Saccharomyces cerevisiae S288C: one gene and its partners. The protein of the gene in region 2 interacts with the protein of the main gene of each other region in a biochemical or structural test. Each region holds a gene or a part of one and is shown on either strand. Other genes may lie near its edges. The genes, in order: STE2, ROD1, CNA1 and YPK1.

Region 1 (3,554 bases), on a different chromosome or scaffold from region 2:
TTGTTTTCCTGCATAATGTTGCCATCAAATGGGAAACTTCATTTAGATCCCATCACAATATACTAGCAGTGGCACCAATTATTTTTTTGGTTGGAAATAATTCTATTTTCAAAATGCCAAACAGCGTACCTTTAGACACGTGGGATGGTAAAGTTACCATCATTTTATTTGTGTACTTAACCGTTTTCAGTTTCATTTATGGAATAAGAAATCTGTACTGGATACACCACTTGGTGAACATAATATGTGCCTGGTTGCTATTTTTCGAAACAATACATTAGAACTACAACCCAGTAAAAAAAGATTAACTGTATATATTGCCTGAGAGTTCTAGATCATGGCAAGAAAAAAGCTTGAACTCGTAAAAGCAAAGGTGGTTTCTACCACTACTTACGAGATGTTTATTATGTAAAGGAGTTTAAATATTATCAAATAAGAAAGATACCATTTTTTTTTATAGAGAATGTGGTGCATCTGATGAGCACCTGAATCTAGTAGTAACCTTATACCGAAGGTCACGAAATTACTTTTTCAAAGCCGTAAATTTTGATCATAAATTATTATTATCTTCAGTCCAGAACTTTCTGGCTTCCTCATCAGCTGCCGTATCGGGAGTGTACATGTCGACGGGTTCAACTTCTCCCTCTTTGTAACTTGCATCAGCAAACGGTCCTATCCTAGTATTTTTTGAACTCGTAGGTGTGGGCAACTGATAAAACTGATTTTTCTCTATATCATCTGCAGTCTCAGAAACAAAAGTTCTTTCCGAATGTTTATCCGATGTTGTTTCCTTCCTTCTAGGATATAGGTCATATAATCTACTTCTGAGACTGCTTTTAGCATCGTTGTTGATACTATCAGTTTGAAAGCTAGACAGCGTGCCTGGATAAAACCTATCTGTGGATGTTGTAAAGTCTGAAGTAATTGTGTTTGTTTTGGATGCATTATTAGCAGCCGTGGCCCACATTGATGATAATGGTAAAGACAATACAGCAAGTAATGTTGCAACAGTAGTCAAGACATCTGTTCCCTGGTTTGGTTTCAAACTGTATGCGAGGATGAATATTATCGATGGAACCAACAAAGATTGACATGACATTATGAGTAAAATATGGAAACTATCGAACTGCTTGAGACCAAGGAATCTTCTTGATCTAATAGCTAAAATCAATTTAACTACCAGGACAAATGACATAAAGTTTATTGAGGATGCAAGTAAAATTGTGGATGCATTGAAGTATTTATCTTGGGTGGCACTAACATCATTATAAGTCACAATCATACCTTTAACAGCGCTTACAAAATACATGGTAACTGTAGCAATCCCTAAAGTGAAAGATATCGACGTCAGCATCAAACCTATCCTTTTGAAGTTGTCGCCTGTGAAAATAACTTTTATCTGAAACACCAGTGAAGTCTCAATAGAAGCCACAAGAAGGACTTGAATTATATTTGTAGCACCATAAACATGAACGTCACCTCTACTGATGAACTGAGGAAATCCGGTGAGAGCGTAAGTCACTGAAGAGTAATTAGACAGTAAATATTTAAAATAGAGTGCAGAATGCAAAATGATTAAAAACAATGAAACTTGGTTGATAATGAAAATCGGCGTTTTTCTGCTTCTCGATGTCATCCACATGACAATCAAAGTCAAAGCAGCTGCACCACATCTGACACCAAACATAATGGCCTGAGTAACAGTACTGTTAACTAAACCTTGCAACTCATCGAAAGTGATGGTAGATCCATTCCCATATATGGAAGTGTAGTTAATGGTGCTTTGACCAGGATTATACGTTGGATCATAAAATAGATTGCTCAATGAAGGAGCCGCATCAGACATTTTTGATTCTTGGATATGGTTCTTAACGGTGCATTTTTAAGTAACCAATTATAATTATAGCCAGAGCAGGTGAAAAGAAAAGGTATCGTATTGCTTTGAAGTCAAATAAGATACTAATAGCACTCCTTAAATAGTATTCCACCCACAGAAAAAAATCTTGAATATGTAGGAAAGCTTTTTTCTTCATATGTGTTTCATCATGTACTTACCCAATTAGGAAATTTACATGGTTGAAAAAACTTCAATCTGCGACTTGCCAGGCACAGGTCCTAAGCAGTATGGACGTTGGCCTGCTTAAATTCTTAGCGGATACTATTGTTTCATTGCAAAGCAGGATACTTCTTCTCGTTTATACTAGCCTGTCTTAATGCACGAGACATTTACCCACAGAGCAAGACGTATATTGACGGATTGCAACACCTATTCGAGCACTACAGCGTGTGACAATGCATTTTGGCAGGCATTGGATAACATATCCGGACTATTCTACAGTTCGTTCTATGCTCTTATCTTGAATCTTTGGTGTATTAAAAAGCTTATTGAGGTTTCATAGCTAAATTTTTCCTTTTTTCTCTCTGGGAAGGGAAGATTATCTTGAATTGGCAAAGTAAAGAAATAAAGAGAAAATTTAGCAAATGACATAGAACAAGCCAATTAACAAAATACGATGCCATTAAGGTCATTATTTCATACTAATCAGAGTAGCCACGACAAAGACGCGTTGACAAGGGGAGGTTATAACGCATATCTGGAATCACTTTCTCGTTGTGACAGTGGAAAGGCAGAAGAACAAAAAGGAAAAGTTATATCAAAGTTATTAGAGAAAAAAGATGTCCGAGCTTTGAGGTACATAGGTTTAGGGCCTCTGGGGTTTGTAAACAACTCATTAAGAAAAGATTGTTGGTATGAATTATTGGCGTCCCAGTTGCTTATTGATGATGCAACAGAGTACATTACACCAGTGGAAAAACATAAAGATGAAGGTCAGGTGATATTGGATGCAGAAAGGTCTTTTGGTGGAATTGTCGACAAAAACTTGAAACTGCAATTGAGAAAACTACTGGTGGAGTTAATTACTCGGGTATTGAGAAAGTACCCAACGTTGAACTATTACCAAGGTTATCATGATATTGTGTCTGTTTTCATCATGTGTTTTAGTTGGAATGTCACAAAAGAGAACGGACTGGAACTAGAAAATCTCTCATTGCAAGAAGAAATTGATATGGAAAGGCTGTTTTATTGCATCGAAGCATTTACCCTATTATATCTGAGGGATTTCATGATGAACTCACTAGATTTTTCATTTGAGCAATTGAGAGTAATCTCTTCATTGATAAAGGAATCAAACATGAAATTCTATAATCTATTCAAATTTGACGAAAATGAGCCCCTTTTCGCTATTGGGTCAATATTGACAATCTTTGCACATAATTTGAAACCTATAGATAGCGGTGACAACAATCTTCATAAAATTCTTTTCCAGATATTTGACATGACAATATCGATGCAATCTATGCGTTTACCTTTGATCATATACAAGAACCTGCTATTGCAAAATGCGTCTGAAATTTCGAAGCAAATAGAAGCTAATTCTGATTTCTTCGAGAACGATTTTGACCTGCGCCATGGTGCTATACAAACAGTTTTACAGAAAAAACTGTATGATGAGGCGCTTTGGGAAGAAGTCTTGCAAATAACTAGAAAAGAT
Region 2 (4,988 bases):
AAGCTCATTGTATTCTCATTATATTCTCTCAAAAATACGTTCGTATAACTGATTAATCCTGTTTTTCTAATCACTATTTTAATGTTTCAATTGAGGGATTTTGCCTTCATACAATTGTTGAGAGAAATTTTCCAACAAGTATGGGAAATATGAGCAATTCTTATCTTTTAAAAACAAGAACTGGTCCGATATTATTCACCTCAAACATATTGGACGAGATCATTTTTAAAACGTTAGGGGTGGGGAGGATATCAATAAGTTTTCATAATTATGTTAACCTTCAAGCCATAAAACCGAGTAAGACCACTTAACAAAATCTATGAGAAGCCTTGCGGCAGAATCTGACAACTTCAGTGAAATTTTTTTGTGATTATAGAAGCATAAACTACAACGCCGAATTGTTTTACTTTATAGCAATTATGAGGTAGTATTATAACATTATATTATCATTTTTCAAGTGGTATGAGGTATGAAAGTACTCTATCAAAGTATATATGCTTAACTGTACAAACGTGTATGAAGTATTGCTCATATCTTTTTGTCGAAATTTCGAAGACAAAAAATAAAGCAGTCTATGAGCGATCCCGTTTTGTGAACATCTCCATTAAATTAGCAAATGAACCTGTTCCTTGTCTTAATGGTGAGTTGCTATTGTTGCTCCGAACTGACGATGAGCGTGACCTTCGATTGTGGGTTGCGCTCGTATAGTTTTCCTCTTCTCTTGGCTTATTAGCGTCAGATGTAGAATCAGTTTTATCAAAATGTGAATTGTTCTTGGAACTTGAATTACTAGTGAAAGATGTTGTCATATTAAACGGAAAATGTCTGCTTCCTGTGCTGCTTTTTGCTGAAGTGAAAGAGAGATTTAGATTAAATGAACTATCTGTGTTGTTTCTCGCCAACTGCTGCAATGATACTGAGGATCCGCTATTATTCCTTGGTAATGGAGAGTGGGATAAATGTGTCCTACTAGACGATCTTTTCAGATTATTGGAACTCTTGCTCGAGCCTGGAAGTGGCAACAAAGAGGATGTAGACTTGTGATGAAGAATTTGTGGCCTTTCTAGTTCAATTTTTTTATTTTCTTGAACTCCAAGTTCTTCCTCGGGATAAGCCGGTGGAAGATCCTCACCAATCATATCAGATTTCATTGCTTTATCATACGAGGGAACTCTGCTTAAATCTGTCAGTTCCAAATCGTTCTTCAGCGATGTAGAAGATGTTTGGCGACTATATGAGTTACGCCTAGATAAATGTGCAAAGCTTGGTGTCAGTGAAGGACTATTCAATCCAGCATTAATGATGTTATTATATCTATTTGCAGAAGGAGAGTTATTGTTCCAATTTTCACTAATTGTTAGATTACTATTAACCAGATTCAGGTTACTATTGTTAACGCTGTCCCCTCGAGAGTCACAATTATTTAGGCTATCATCTTCAATCTTGATTTGAGGATTTGGTGCCAAAATAGGATTATTGCTATTGTTACTATCCGATATATATAGGTTTTGAATATTGTGAATTGCCTGTGATTCGACGGCACTTGAAGAAGCTGATGCTGAAGTTTCGTCTTCATTAGTTACCTCGCCATACACTCGATCGTAAACGTGATTGCCGTAGTTGGGAGGTACCATCAAACTAGTTACCATAGTTGTGTCAGCGACTGCGGTAGCCTCTGCATCAGTACTATTGATATTTAAAGTAGAGCCAGATACTATGGTTGGCATTGAAGACAATTGTAACGCAGAAGCAGATCTTTGAAAAATCACATCTTCTTCACTATCGTCTACAAAGTTTTTGCTGCTGAATGAATTATCGTGCTGACTTGTTACTTGATATGAGGGTCCAAACGTTTTGAGCGTTCTTTCAATAACATCGGAGGTCTTTACATTGACTGGAACAAACGGTGAAATGAATAATTGGACAGGCAGTGCCGCACGCAATTCTGAAATATGACCGTCCGGATTGAGTAAACTTATAGTGAACTTGATCTTATGACGGACTTTGATATTAGATAAAATGCGACAGTCTTGGGAGCATTTAGTCAGGCTTGCAGGTATGTTTAATAAAGCTCGAACTTCCCATTTATCTTGAAATTCCCCTGTGTCCGTATCAACCCCTTCGTCGGCAGCTTCATTTAGGCTCCTCTTCTTCTTTATTTGGGCAACGTGCTTCAGGGGATCTTTTAGTTTTAATTTAGCCACCATTCTTTCTTGGTTGATAACCCCTCCATAGCTACCACAATACTGGGAATTTTCCACCAAACTGATCCTAACAGGGCCTAACTTCAATCCTTTTAATATAGGAACAATTAAAATATTGATCATGGTGGAAGAGCCAATGGCAATTGCCTTAGTTGGAATGGAGATCGTATAATCGACTTTTTCAGGCCATGAGTTATCCACTGATACTGTTTCAGATAACTCGACTGCATCTATAGCTAACGTTCGAATAACTCTTAGATGTTTTTTACAGATCAAGTCGGGCTGCTTAGGTCTCTCGATAGTAGCTTCCAGAGCATAAGTGACGGCAGCATTTGGTAGGCCTTCTACACTTTCCACTAATGACCCAGGAATAATCGCGCTGAAAGGGAATTCGTAGTTACCTTTTACTAAGGTGTGATAGTTTTTGCTTGCGCTTGTCTGCCCATTACTTGATATCAATGATGCAGTAGAAAGGGCTCTTTTTCTCTTTGGCAATGCTGCTAAATTTGTTGAGGATTTACTAGAAATTGTTATTTTACCATTATTATGATTATCGTACAAGTTTTGGAAATAACTTTTTATATTAAAATCATCCCAAAAATGAGAATATATGTTTCTCTCAAACTTTGAGTATCGCTTATGCGGCCCATGAACAGTTTGTAAAACCGTTGGAATATTTAGTCTCAACCTACCAAAAAGTCTCAAAGCCAAAGACTTGATTTGAATTGGCTCAGTAATTGACAATACTATAGTTCCAGATAGTAGGACAGAAGATGCCTCATCAGGGGGGCCTTTTATCAGTAAAACATCATTGTCCAAATTTCTAAGTCTGATGTCAAATAGTAATGGCTCTTTTGAAGGTCGAGATGATGATGAAAACATTATTACTTATGGAGGAAGAGAAGCGAATGGTGTGATGAAATCGCGTTGATTTCTGTATGGTTGTTAATTAGTTTTAGATCTGCATCTTTTTGACGTCTATATTTGAATAGGGGACCCCTGTTCTGTTTTTTTCGCTTAATAAAAAAACGCTGAAAATTGCAAGAGCCCAGCCATACAAAATAATTTATAAAAACTGTGAACAGGAAGCTTCTCAGTTTTTATCGGAGAACCCATCTCTGGGGTTAGACATTCATCCGCATTAAAACTCCTATTTTTACTCGTAGTTTTCGGTCTTCAAAATAAAGCAGATTCCTTAAAGTTAGATGCTTTTATTCAACTTAATCAGTAATGTAACATAATATGTACCAAGGGACTCGACTCTTTTTGACCCATTGTTTAATTAATATGTGTTATAATTACAAGAATAATGCATTGTATGGACATATCTAAAAATACATAGAATAATTACATAAGGTCGAAAGTTGTGAGTGAATACATTAAAGTAGTAAAACTTCACCTATAACATTAGATTGCCCAACGCTGACTACTGTCTTCTAGATATGGAACTTGTTACTCCTTTCTAATAGTTTTCTTCGAAGGGCACCTTTTTTAGCATATGCGCGCAGTTTAGTTTGCAGTCGGGTAGGGCCAAAATTAGAATATCTTTTGTTACTTCCATTATCGCGGTGATCATTGCGGGCTTGTAGTGATTTGATTCGATTCATAATTTCATCCTTTTTAGACATATCAGGTTCCTGACGTGTGATTACTTGATTTTTCAATGCGTTTAATTTAACATCCAAATATTTAAAGTATAGTTTTCGTAAAATTTGTTTGTCATTGATATCTGTAAAAGTAGAGTTCACCTCCCAAGTGGAAACATCGGAAGCGTGGAAAAAGTTTGGAGTCTGTGTAGATGGTATATCTTTGTACCAGTCTCGTTTCATCATGTCAGAAATATATTTACGGGATTCGGTGTCGAGAATATCGTTCTTTTTTAAAGCAAAATCAGGTAGATGTGTAGTATTAGGATGATGGTGATAGAAATGCTTGACATTTACTTTAAATCCAACTAAGGAATTCAGGTGTTCCTCCAAAAGATTTTCGTTATATGAGCGGAGGTTTAGTAGCTCCTCTGTTAATTGTTCGTTCGAAGTATCCTTTACCAATAAAGATTTATCCTCGTACTCAGGTGACAACGGCAGGGCTACAATATTTAGCACCGGTTCGTTAAAGAAGCGGCCACTTTTGGATCGTTTTTCTTCAACTTCGGTTTTAAGCATTATTTTGCATTTTTCCCATTTCGTATTACTTGAGTTAAGTAACTGCTCAACGTGTTTCAAAATATTACTGAACAGATTCATAGACATCTTAAATTCCCTATTAGCCACCAAGCAAGCAATTTTCCTATCGTCCCTGTCATAGTGTAGAATGTAGTCCTCCTCACCATATATCCCTTTTGTGATATCATTCTTCTCCTTTAACAAACTGTCGAATTTGCTGTTATACGAAGAATGGATTATATAATCTAATTCGTCCAAAGGTAGATATTGGAATCCAAACATCTTAGAAATATTGTGGTATGCAACGAAAATACCGTCCATTTTGCCAATTCTAGCTTGCAAAGAATACTTTAGAAGGGCAGACCTGATTAGTTCAAAATATTCTCTTTCCAAAGACTCAAATTCCCCATAAACTTTATCTATCTCATATCCAGTTTGGTTGTTATTACTCTCTACATGTGATAAATCGTATCTTATGGCAGAAACTGCTCTTGTCTTCAGATCAAATACACCCGTTCCAGGTAGATTTGGGTCGTACGCGTCCAATTGAGATCTCACAATGAATTCATCTATACTAGAATAGTGATAATTTTCACTTTTTGAACTATTCTTCAGGGAC
Region 3 (3,854 bases), on a different chromosome or scaffold from region 2:
GGTAATGCATCTACCTCCCGTTACTTTTCCGAATCAGACAGTGTTTTGGTCGCACAAGGTGTCTCCGGTGCTGTCGTTGACAAAGGTTCTATCAAGAAATTTATTCCATATTTGTACAACGGTTTACAACATTCTTGTCAAGACATTGGTTACAAGTCCCTAACTTTATTAAAGGAAAATGTCCAAAGCGGTAAAGTTAGATTTGAATTTAGAACCGCTTCTGCTCAACTAGAAGGTGGTGTTCATAACTTACATTCTTACGAAAAGCGTTTACATAACTAATTGGTAACTAGGGTTCATTAATAATAAAATAAAACTAAAAAATATGTGTTTATATTTATTCTGCTCGCAGTTAAGTATGGAAATCAAGAAATAGACTGGAAATGATCTATATTTTCTTCGTATTTTGTTAGTTCATATTATCTCTTGCGGATCGTGACAGTAGCACAAGAATTCGATGTTGCATCTCATAGGAATAAAAAAGAATAAAATGAGATTTATCACAGTTGTGGCTTTTTCTCCGCTCCCTTTAATATTTTTTCGTAGTATTTAATCTTCTCTTGTTCAACCTCCGATAAAGATGGTGGTAATTTTTCATTAATAAGGTCTTCCTTTCTAGCCTTTTCAAAAGTGCTTAGCGTTTCATTCAAACCTTCAGTCCCACGAGCTAGAGCACCACGAGGTAAGACACCGGCATTCATAGTTTTCAAATATTCCACTTTTTCGCTCTCTTCTCTTAGCACCGAAAACATTCTTGAAACTTTAGCAATAGCTAATATCTTATTTCTCAAAGCCTTTCTTCGGGTTTCATCTTCTAATATCGCTGATGACGCCTTTTCATCAGATGGGGTGCCGGTCTCCTTAGTTGCGTTTGCTCTTGCCTTTACAGTCTCCTCCGCAGCTTTGGGTTCCGATTCTGGGTCAAGTTCCTGCTCACTACATATGTTTAATATAGACACTAACATGCTAGTAACTTTTTCGCCAACAAAAGGTAGTGACCAGGTGAAAACATCCATAAAATCAGGCAACCAGTAAGGGTGCGGAGACATGTGAAACTGCCTGATGTTCATGACGTTTTCTTCATATTTTAACACAGCAGCTTTATTATGATATGTGTCCAGGTAGTTTGGCGCACTGAACATGGTTATTAAGCTCGGGAAGCCTGTTACTTTATTGTTTTTATACATTCTGTACCCAGCATCCTGTGCTTCGTGTGCTCTAATAATAGATAACAAACCATTTGCCTTCAAAAACTTGCATGATGCTTTAAAAGTGAAGGCGAAAGAGCAACCCCTCAAACTGTTAGGTACGAATTCATCCTCGCTCTGATCAAATTCGCTACCATCTCTTGCATCATCATAATTTTCGACAGGATCGGCCCATAGTAGGTCACACATGAGACCACGAGATGGGATTTCTCGAAATCTATTAATTTTATTAACATCCTCTACTGATTTTAACTCTGGAGAGATACCACCATGCACACAAAAATATTGTCCGTTCATTAAAGCTGCTAATGGTAAGACATTGAATGATCTGCAGCAAGCATCGTAAACTTCCATATCGTATTTGTGCAACATCTCATTCTTAAAAGTAAAATAAGAGGTCAAGTGCTTACACTCATGGTTACCTCTTAGCATCCAAAATCTCCCTAAATTATTCAACTTCAAGGAGTACAAATAAATCAGACACTCAAAAGAGAATGCACCTCTATCAACATAATCCCCCAAGAATAAATAGTCGATTTCGGCGGGGTCACCGCCAACTTCAAACAGTTTCAATAAATCATAATACTGCCCGTGAATATCACCACATATAGTAATTGGCGCTTTGAGTTTTAGTAGATTGGGTTCTTTACTCAATGCTACAGTTGACATATTTAAGATTTTTATGGCCTGTTCCTTAGAAAGTCGACCCTCATGAAAGAAATGCTCTCTTAAAAAGGAATGATTAGGTAATCCCGTCTTGGAGTCGAATACTTCCTCATCACTTGGTATCTTTCCTGTTATGGCAGGTACAGAAGCGATAGGTCGGTCCTTAGTAGAAATTACTTTACCGTTTTCTAATTCGTATTTTGTTAAATCTTTTTTCCGGTCAACCTTTATGTAAGAGTCATTAGGTTTAATGATTTTGATGCGTGAAGAATTCAAGTCTTTCGACATTGGCGTTGAGAGTGTTTTATGGCAGCTGAGCTAATACGTCAAAAAAAAAAGAATCTAAAAAAACTTTTCTTTGAATAATACCTTTAATAAAGCAAATATTAAAGGCTTTGCTTCGTTCTTTTATAATAATGCCTCTTGATTCAAAAACATTAAAGGATTTATACATTTTTCCCTTTTGTTTCCCAGTAGTACGTTCTTTTTCAGAATTGGAAAATTCATGTTTCAAGAGGCGATGACATGAAAAATTTTGAAATAGATATAGATGAATATCAAAATGATTCAAACAGTTTGTATTTATTGCAACAGGAAGAAAGGTGGAGTCCAAAGAAATCTGCGAAAAATTTTTATAGTGATAATCCTTACGGAACAATGAGCACACAATATATTGATGAGACAGCATTTGTTCAGGCTGAGCAAGGTAAAACCAATCTAATGTTCTCTGACGAAAAGCAACAGGCACGTTTTGAGCTCGGTGTTTCCATGGTTATTTATAAGTGGGATGCGTTGGATGTTGCCGTAGAAAACAGTTGGGGTGGTCCAGACTCAGCTGAGAAGAGAGACTGGATTACAGGGATTGTAGTAGACCTTTTCAAAAATGAAAAAGTTGTTGACGCCGCTTTAATCGAAGAAACGTTACTTTATGCAATGATAGATGAATTTGAAACTAATGTTGAAGACGACTCGGCTTTACCGATTGCCGTGGAGGTCATCAACATATATAACGACTGTTTCAATTTAAATTATAATAAGGTAGAAAAATTGTATTTGGAATGGCAAGAAAAGCAGAGAACTAAAAAATCAAAAAGAGTTGTGCATATTGAGGGTGATGATGATGAAGACGATGAAGATGTAGAGGACTATGATGACGAAGATGAAGATGAAGAGATGGACGAGGTTGTACCTGACTTAGTATCGTCTAAACCTGAACCAATTGTTGACGAAGACGGTTTTGAATTGGTTCAACCAAAAGGAAGAAGAAAGCACTAGTATCTTCAAAATCTGTATATTATAATTGATAGTGCGCTGCTTTTTTGCACTTCCAGTAAGAAATAGCAACAAAATTAGATAAATCTCGGTGGAGTTATCCAAAATATGTAATATATATCAAGAAAGTTACGTATTAAACATTGGACTTCTAGAGGAGATCTTCAATATAGATTTAAAAGGTGGGCAATGCATCGCTACGTGAAGATTTTTACTTTTCTTCAACATGTGTATTTTTTATGTTTCATATTTTTATATTTTGTGTTTGCTAAGGTCTAATCGTTCAGCTAAGTTAAAGCTAAGTATAAGAAGCAAAAAATACTAAATTATACTAAATTATAAATTTTCGTACATAAATAATCATGAGGTAGATGTTTAAATATGTAAATAGTTTCTTTTTTCTTCTTTGTGATTGTCAAAATTTGTGTCTATCTATACAACCCTCTAGAGGTATATCTTAACTGTGTATTATCATCAAATTCGTTATTATTATAATTGTCATTATCGCTATTAATGAATTTAAATTTCTTGAAAAAAGAAGATGTCATTTCCAGAAATGAAAAAGATTCTTTTCTGAAGTTTGCGATCTTAAATAGTCGGATGTCGGTTCCAACCCAAATGTTATTTTCAATTATGTTGTTTACAACGCCGGGACTAATTTCTTCTTCAAACATATAACTATTCAAATTATCTGTAATGATTGACGTG
Region 4 (4,431 bases), on a different chromosome or scaffold from region 2:
ATCGGAAAACTGGACCTTCCTTTTTTTTTGATCTATAGGAGCTACAAAGTCCTGGGGTGGTCGTTTACTTGTATTCTCAAAAGCCATCATCTTGTCAGCTGTTGTCTTGCACAAAAGTTATTTCTTTACCAGACAATGTATCCGTTCGTGGTTAAGGTAAGAATTTTAACAATGGGGTCTTGGGTTAATTTAAAGTCGAACGCTGATTAAAACAACCTTTATATTTTTAAAAGGAGAAGCTACTGCAAACGAGAGATGCTCATCAAAATATCTTTTATACAAGGAGAAAATTTTCAACACCTTTTTTTTTTTTTATTTTCTGCCGCCCCATCGACACGGATCTCGGAAGGGTAAGAGAGGAAATCCTTTATCTAATCAGAATAAGCTGAGGCAATACGCTATGACCATGAGACACAAGCCACACATGTGTGAAGTATTGCCCACGTTCGAAATATAAATCCTAGAACTTAAATTGCGCCATTGGTACAGTTGCTTCATCTTGAACACAGTAAGTAACGGAAAAGAAAACCTTTCTTTTTATATAAAGTATGTCATGAGTAAACTAGTTGATAATGTATTCACTAAGTCTATCTAATGCTTCTACCTTGCACCATTGAGCTACCTAGCTGTTCATTTCCAACGTATGTCCAGCCACCAAATTGCTTTTGAACACTTTCACTCAAGTATTCATCTACCACACTATCAATTGGCTTCTCCCTAGTGAATTCCTCATCGAAATTACTAGTATCCATGGAATTACTAACAGCTGGTTTATATGGTGGAATATAACCCTTCATCAACAGGCGCTTCCATGATAATTGGCTGAAAAAAGGATGGTTCCGAATTTCGTCGGCACCATTGTAGCCCAATCTTCTTGTCGGATCACGGCTCAATAATCCAATCAATAGATCCTTTGCATCTCTATCAAATCCATCTGGGAAAACTAGTGGCTCCTGTAGAATCTTCTTATACATTTTTGGAACATCTTCATCATAATAAGGAGGAAGACCTGTGAGCATCTCGTATAACAAGACTCCCAATGTCCACCAATCTACTGCCTTTGTATAGCCTAAACCTAGCAATAGTTCTGGTGCCAAGTATTCTGGGGTCCCACAAAAAGTATCTGTCTTATCATCATCCTTCATATTCAATTTGCATAGCCCGAAATCACAAAGGGCAATGTGGCCTTGATAATCCAATAAAATATTCTCTGGTTTCAAATCACGATAGACAACATCTAGTTTATGCAAGTTGTCTAGCGCACATAACAATTCTGCGGTATAAAATCTGGCACGTGATAAATCAAACCTTCCTTCCTTTTGTAGATGATAAAACAACTCACCACCATTGATAAACGCTAAAACAAAGTATAATTTTTCCGGTGATTGGAAAGAAAACTTCAAAGGTACAATAAATGGACAATCAACACGTGCTAGAACGGTTCTTTCTGCCAAAGTATGCGTGACTTCGGATTTAGAGACAATGTATGATTTTCTGATTGCCTTCAAAGCGTATACTTTTTGTGTATCTTTCTTTCTGACTTGCATCACTTTACCAAACGAACCCTTACCGATAACTTTCAAAAGATCGAAATCATCGATGGACAAAGGTTTATTTCTGGAAGGTTTATAATCAATACTAATATTGATCTTACCCAAGCCATTATCCAATGTGATCCAGTGGTGATTATATAGTCTAATACTAGCTGCAGAGTCAAAACTTAAGTTGATGGGCAAATGGAAAGAATCTAAATGTATATCTTGATTGGAATTTATTTTATCAAAAATGGTCTGTAGCTTCTCGTCTTGCAAACCCATCTCCTGTTGCCATGTCTTCGAGGGCAAAAGAATGGACGGAATTCTTGCAAATACATCAATCTTTAAATAAGGTAATTTCCTTGTCACATCAAAGGTAGATATCTTATTGAAACCAGGTTTAGCGATCGTACCATACTCTGCTTCAATAGTTGCAACTGTATTATCAAATTCAATGGTGAAATATAGTAAGGGATTTAAGGTCGAAGACCCTGGTAACATGATAGTAGATGGGATGAACTTTGCTGCTGACTCGCTAGAGATCAAATCTTCATCAGCTGGACCTTGGTTCTTTATTTGAACACGGGACAGTTGTGCAATTAAAGCATCTACTTCTTTACTAATCTCCTTATGTGGCGGTGGAACACCCGAGGCCAATAGTTTATTCAATATTTGCTCGCTTGAGGTAATCGGAAAAGGTAAAATAAAGTCATCACCATTATATACTTTGATAGTCATCATTCCTGAACTTGAGGTGGCATCATTGGGTGTCCCTGTAGAACCAATATTTGCTGTTTCATCTAAATTTTGAGATGAGTTCGTGTTTTCTGAATTACCACCATTTGAATCTCGTACAGTAGAGGTCGATGAGGATGCATCGTATGAAACACGAACCGGGACCACTGATGAATTTGATGGATTTATCGTGCCCTTCCTGTCTAAAGATGAACGAGTAATTGAAGCATCATGTTCCCCCGCAGTTGCTTGATTATTCTGCTGTTCTTCCTTTTTAGAGGAGTGAAAAAACCCACTATGTTTGGCTTCTTTTTCTTCTTTAGATTTTCCAAACTTAAACTTTGACTTCCAAGAATACATTTTCAGGAACTGTATTAATGTTTGTTGATATGAGAGGAACTTTGAAGTGTCAATTTCCCGCTGTATACAAAGAAATTGTAGAGTAATCTATATCAAAGAATATAAAGGCTTTGAAATTTAACCAAACACAAACAAACCAATTCTAAAAAGTATGGGAGCGAAAAATAACTCAACTGTTGTTGGTATGACGATAGTGTTGATTACCGTTGGCTCGTTCGGGATAAGCATTTTTTAAGCCTTCCAATAGGGGCATGTTTTGATCTTGTTTTCCTGTAGCGCGGCTCTGCCGCGAAGAAAGTCGCGAGTAACGAAAAACAAAAACAATGTTGTATTATGAAGCTAATTGATAAGTCAATCAGCAAAAAATAGATATACTACATATATCCTCTACATATAAATTAAGATCAGTTAAAACATCTTTGGAAAATTAGTGCTTGTTCAAGACCAATAATTCTATGTGCGGACTGTTGGTTCGTCTGTTCCTAAAATTTCTTTAAATCTTAAGAATTTTACAATGGAGTTGATGACGGGTTTCAAGAAGACGTCAGCTGTTTGGCCATAGTTCTCCTTTTTATCAGTATACTTTTCTACGTATAATCTTATTGTTGCACCAGAACTGCCTGTGCCGGATAACCTCAAAACAAATTTAGTCCCATTCGAAAACTTTACGAAAAGGCCTTGATTTTCAGAGATGGAGCCATCTAGATCTCTATACGAAAAATCACCACAATCGATAACGGTTAAAGACTCATCAGCTGGGAAGTGGGAGCCACAAACGTTTGGCCTTGATACAAATTCACTCAAAAGAGCTACAACTTTTTCGGCCTGCTCGCATTCGATATGTTCGTAATCGTATCTTGTGAAGAAAGTACGGCCATACTCGTTCCAAAATTCGTCCTGAATAGTTTTGATCGAAGCTTCCTTTTCAGGGTTACGCCTATGGTAGATAGCCAAGATATTTAACCAAGCAATAATGGCCCATAGACCGTCCTTTTCTCTGATATGATTGGAACCTGTACCGAAGGATTCTTCACCACAGATTGATAGCTTTTTAGCATCAAATAAGGCACAGAAGAATTTCCAGCCGGTTGGAACTTCGTAACATCTTAATCCCTTTTTTGCTGCAACACGATCAATGGCTGAGGATGTAGGAAATGAACGTGCCAAGCCATAAATACCTTGTTTGGCGAAGTATGGAATTTCGGGTGCATATTCGGCAATAATGGCAACAGAATCACCTGGCGAAACGAAAGCAGGGCCATAACCGTAAATCATATTCCTATCACCATCACCATCGGAGGCTGCTCCAAAGGCAATTTTTTCGCGGTCAACCCTGTCAACAAGAGTTCGTGCATAGGTTAGATTCGGATCGGGATGTAAACCGCCGAAATCAGGTAAAGGGTGCCAATTTTGAAGAACTTCCTCTGCCGGTAAACCAAATTCATCAACAAATATAGCCTTACCATATGGTCCTGTAATACCATTTAAGGAGTCAAACAACAACTTCCACCCTTTGTCTTTGCGCTGTTTCGCTAAGAAGCTTTTAATTAAGTCAAAATCAAAAATTTCCTTCAGAAATTGAACGTATGCTTTGGCAGGATCAATTATGTCCACTAACAATGGGCCATATTTTTGGTTTTTACCAAGCTTGTTCAAATTCAACTTGGGGAAGTTCTTTATAATTTTATAGTGAGTTAATTTTTTAGACGCTTCCCAGATAGCGTTAGTGACACTCTCTGGAGCTGGCCCACCATTAGGTAAATTATACTTGATACCTAAATCATTCTCTGGACCGCCTGGG

The links.
Region 1: the proteins of ROD1 (region 2) and STE2 form a complex in vitro, tested with the Saccharomyces cerevisiae proteins (one study listed by BioGRID).
Region 3: the proteins of ROD1 (region 2) and CNA1 form a complex in vitro, tested with the Saccharomyces cerevisiae proteins (2 studies listed by BioGRID, with this or other methods).
Region 4: of the proteins of ROD1 (region 2) and YPK1, one has a biochemical effect on the other in vitro, tested with the Saccharomyces cerevisiae proteins (2 studies listed by BioGRID).

The regions. Positions count from the first base shown.
Region 1 is NC_001138.5:80,872-84,425, reverse strand, and holds STE2 (alpha-factor pheromone receptor STE2), read right to left. Parts: upstream 1,847-3,554; coding exon 551-1,846; downstream 1-550. Other genes in the region: BST1 (Bst1p), read left to right, coding at 1-281; GTPase-activating protein GYP8, read left to right, coding at 2,514-3,554. UniProt on the Saccharomyces cerevisiae protein: Fungal class D1 G-protein-coupled receptor that acts as an alpha-factor pheromone receptor performing pheromone-dependent signal transduction involved in cellular conjugation, mating projection assembly, and in cell fusion.
Region 2 is NC_001147.6:362,467-367,454, reverse strand, and holds ROD1 (Rod1p), read right to left. Parts: upstream 3,087-4,988; coding exon 573-3,086; downstream 1-572. Other genes in the region: PET127 (Pet127p), read right to left, coding at 3,641-4,988. UniProt on the Saccharomyces cerevisiae protein: Mediates resistance to o-dinitrobenzene, calcium and zinc.
Region 3 is NC_001144.5:1,003,847-1,007,700, forward strand, and holds CNA1 (calcineurin catalytic subunit A), read right to left. Parts: upstream 2,163-3,854; coding exon 501-2,162; downstream 1-500. Other genes in the region: IMP dehydrogenase IMD3, read left to right, coding at 1-282; TSR2 (Tsr2p), read left to right, coding at 2,532-3,149; ECM30 (Ecm30p), read right to left, coding at 3,575-3,854. UniProt on the Saccharomyces cerevisiae protein: Calcium-dependent, calmodulin-stimulated protein phosphatase. This subunit may have a role in the calmodulin activation of calcineurin.
Region 4 is NC_001143.9:203,906-208,336, reverse strand, and holds YPK1 (serine/threonine protein kinase YPK1), read right to left. Parts: upstream 2,631-4,431; coding exon 588-2,630; downstream 1-587. Other genes in the region: RRN3 (rDNA-binding RNA polymerase I transcriptional factor), read right to left, coding at 1-90; phosphoglucomutase PGM1, read right to left, coding at 3,084-4,431. UniProt on the Saccharomyces cerevisiae protein: Plays an essential role in the proliferation of yeast cells. Involved in a signaling pathway, required for optimal cell wall integrity, that acts in parallel with the PKC1-SLT2-dependent pathway.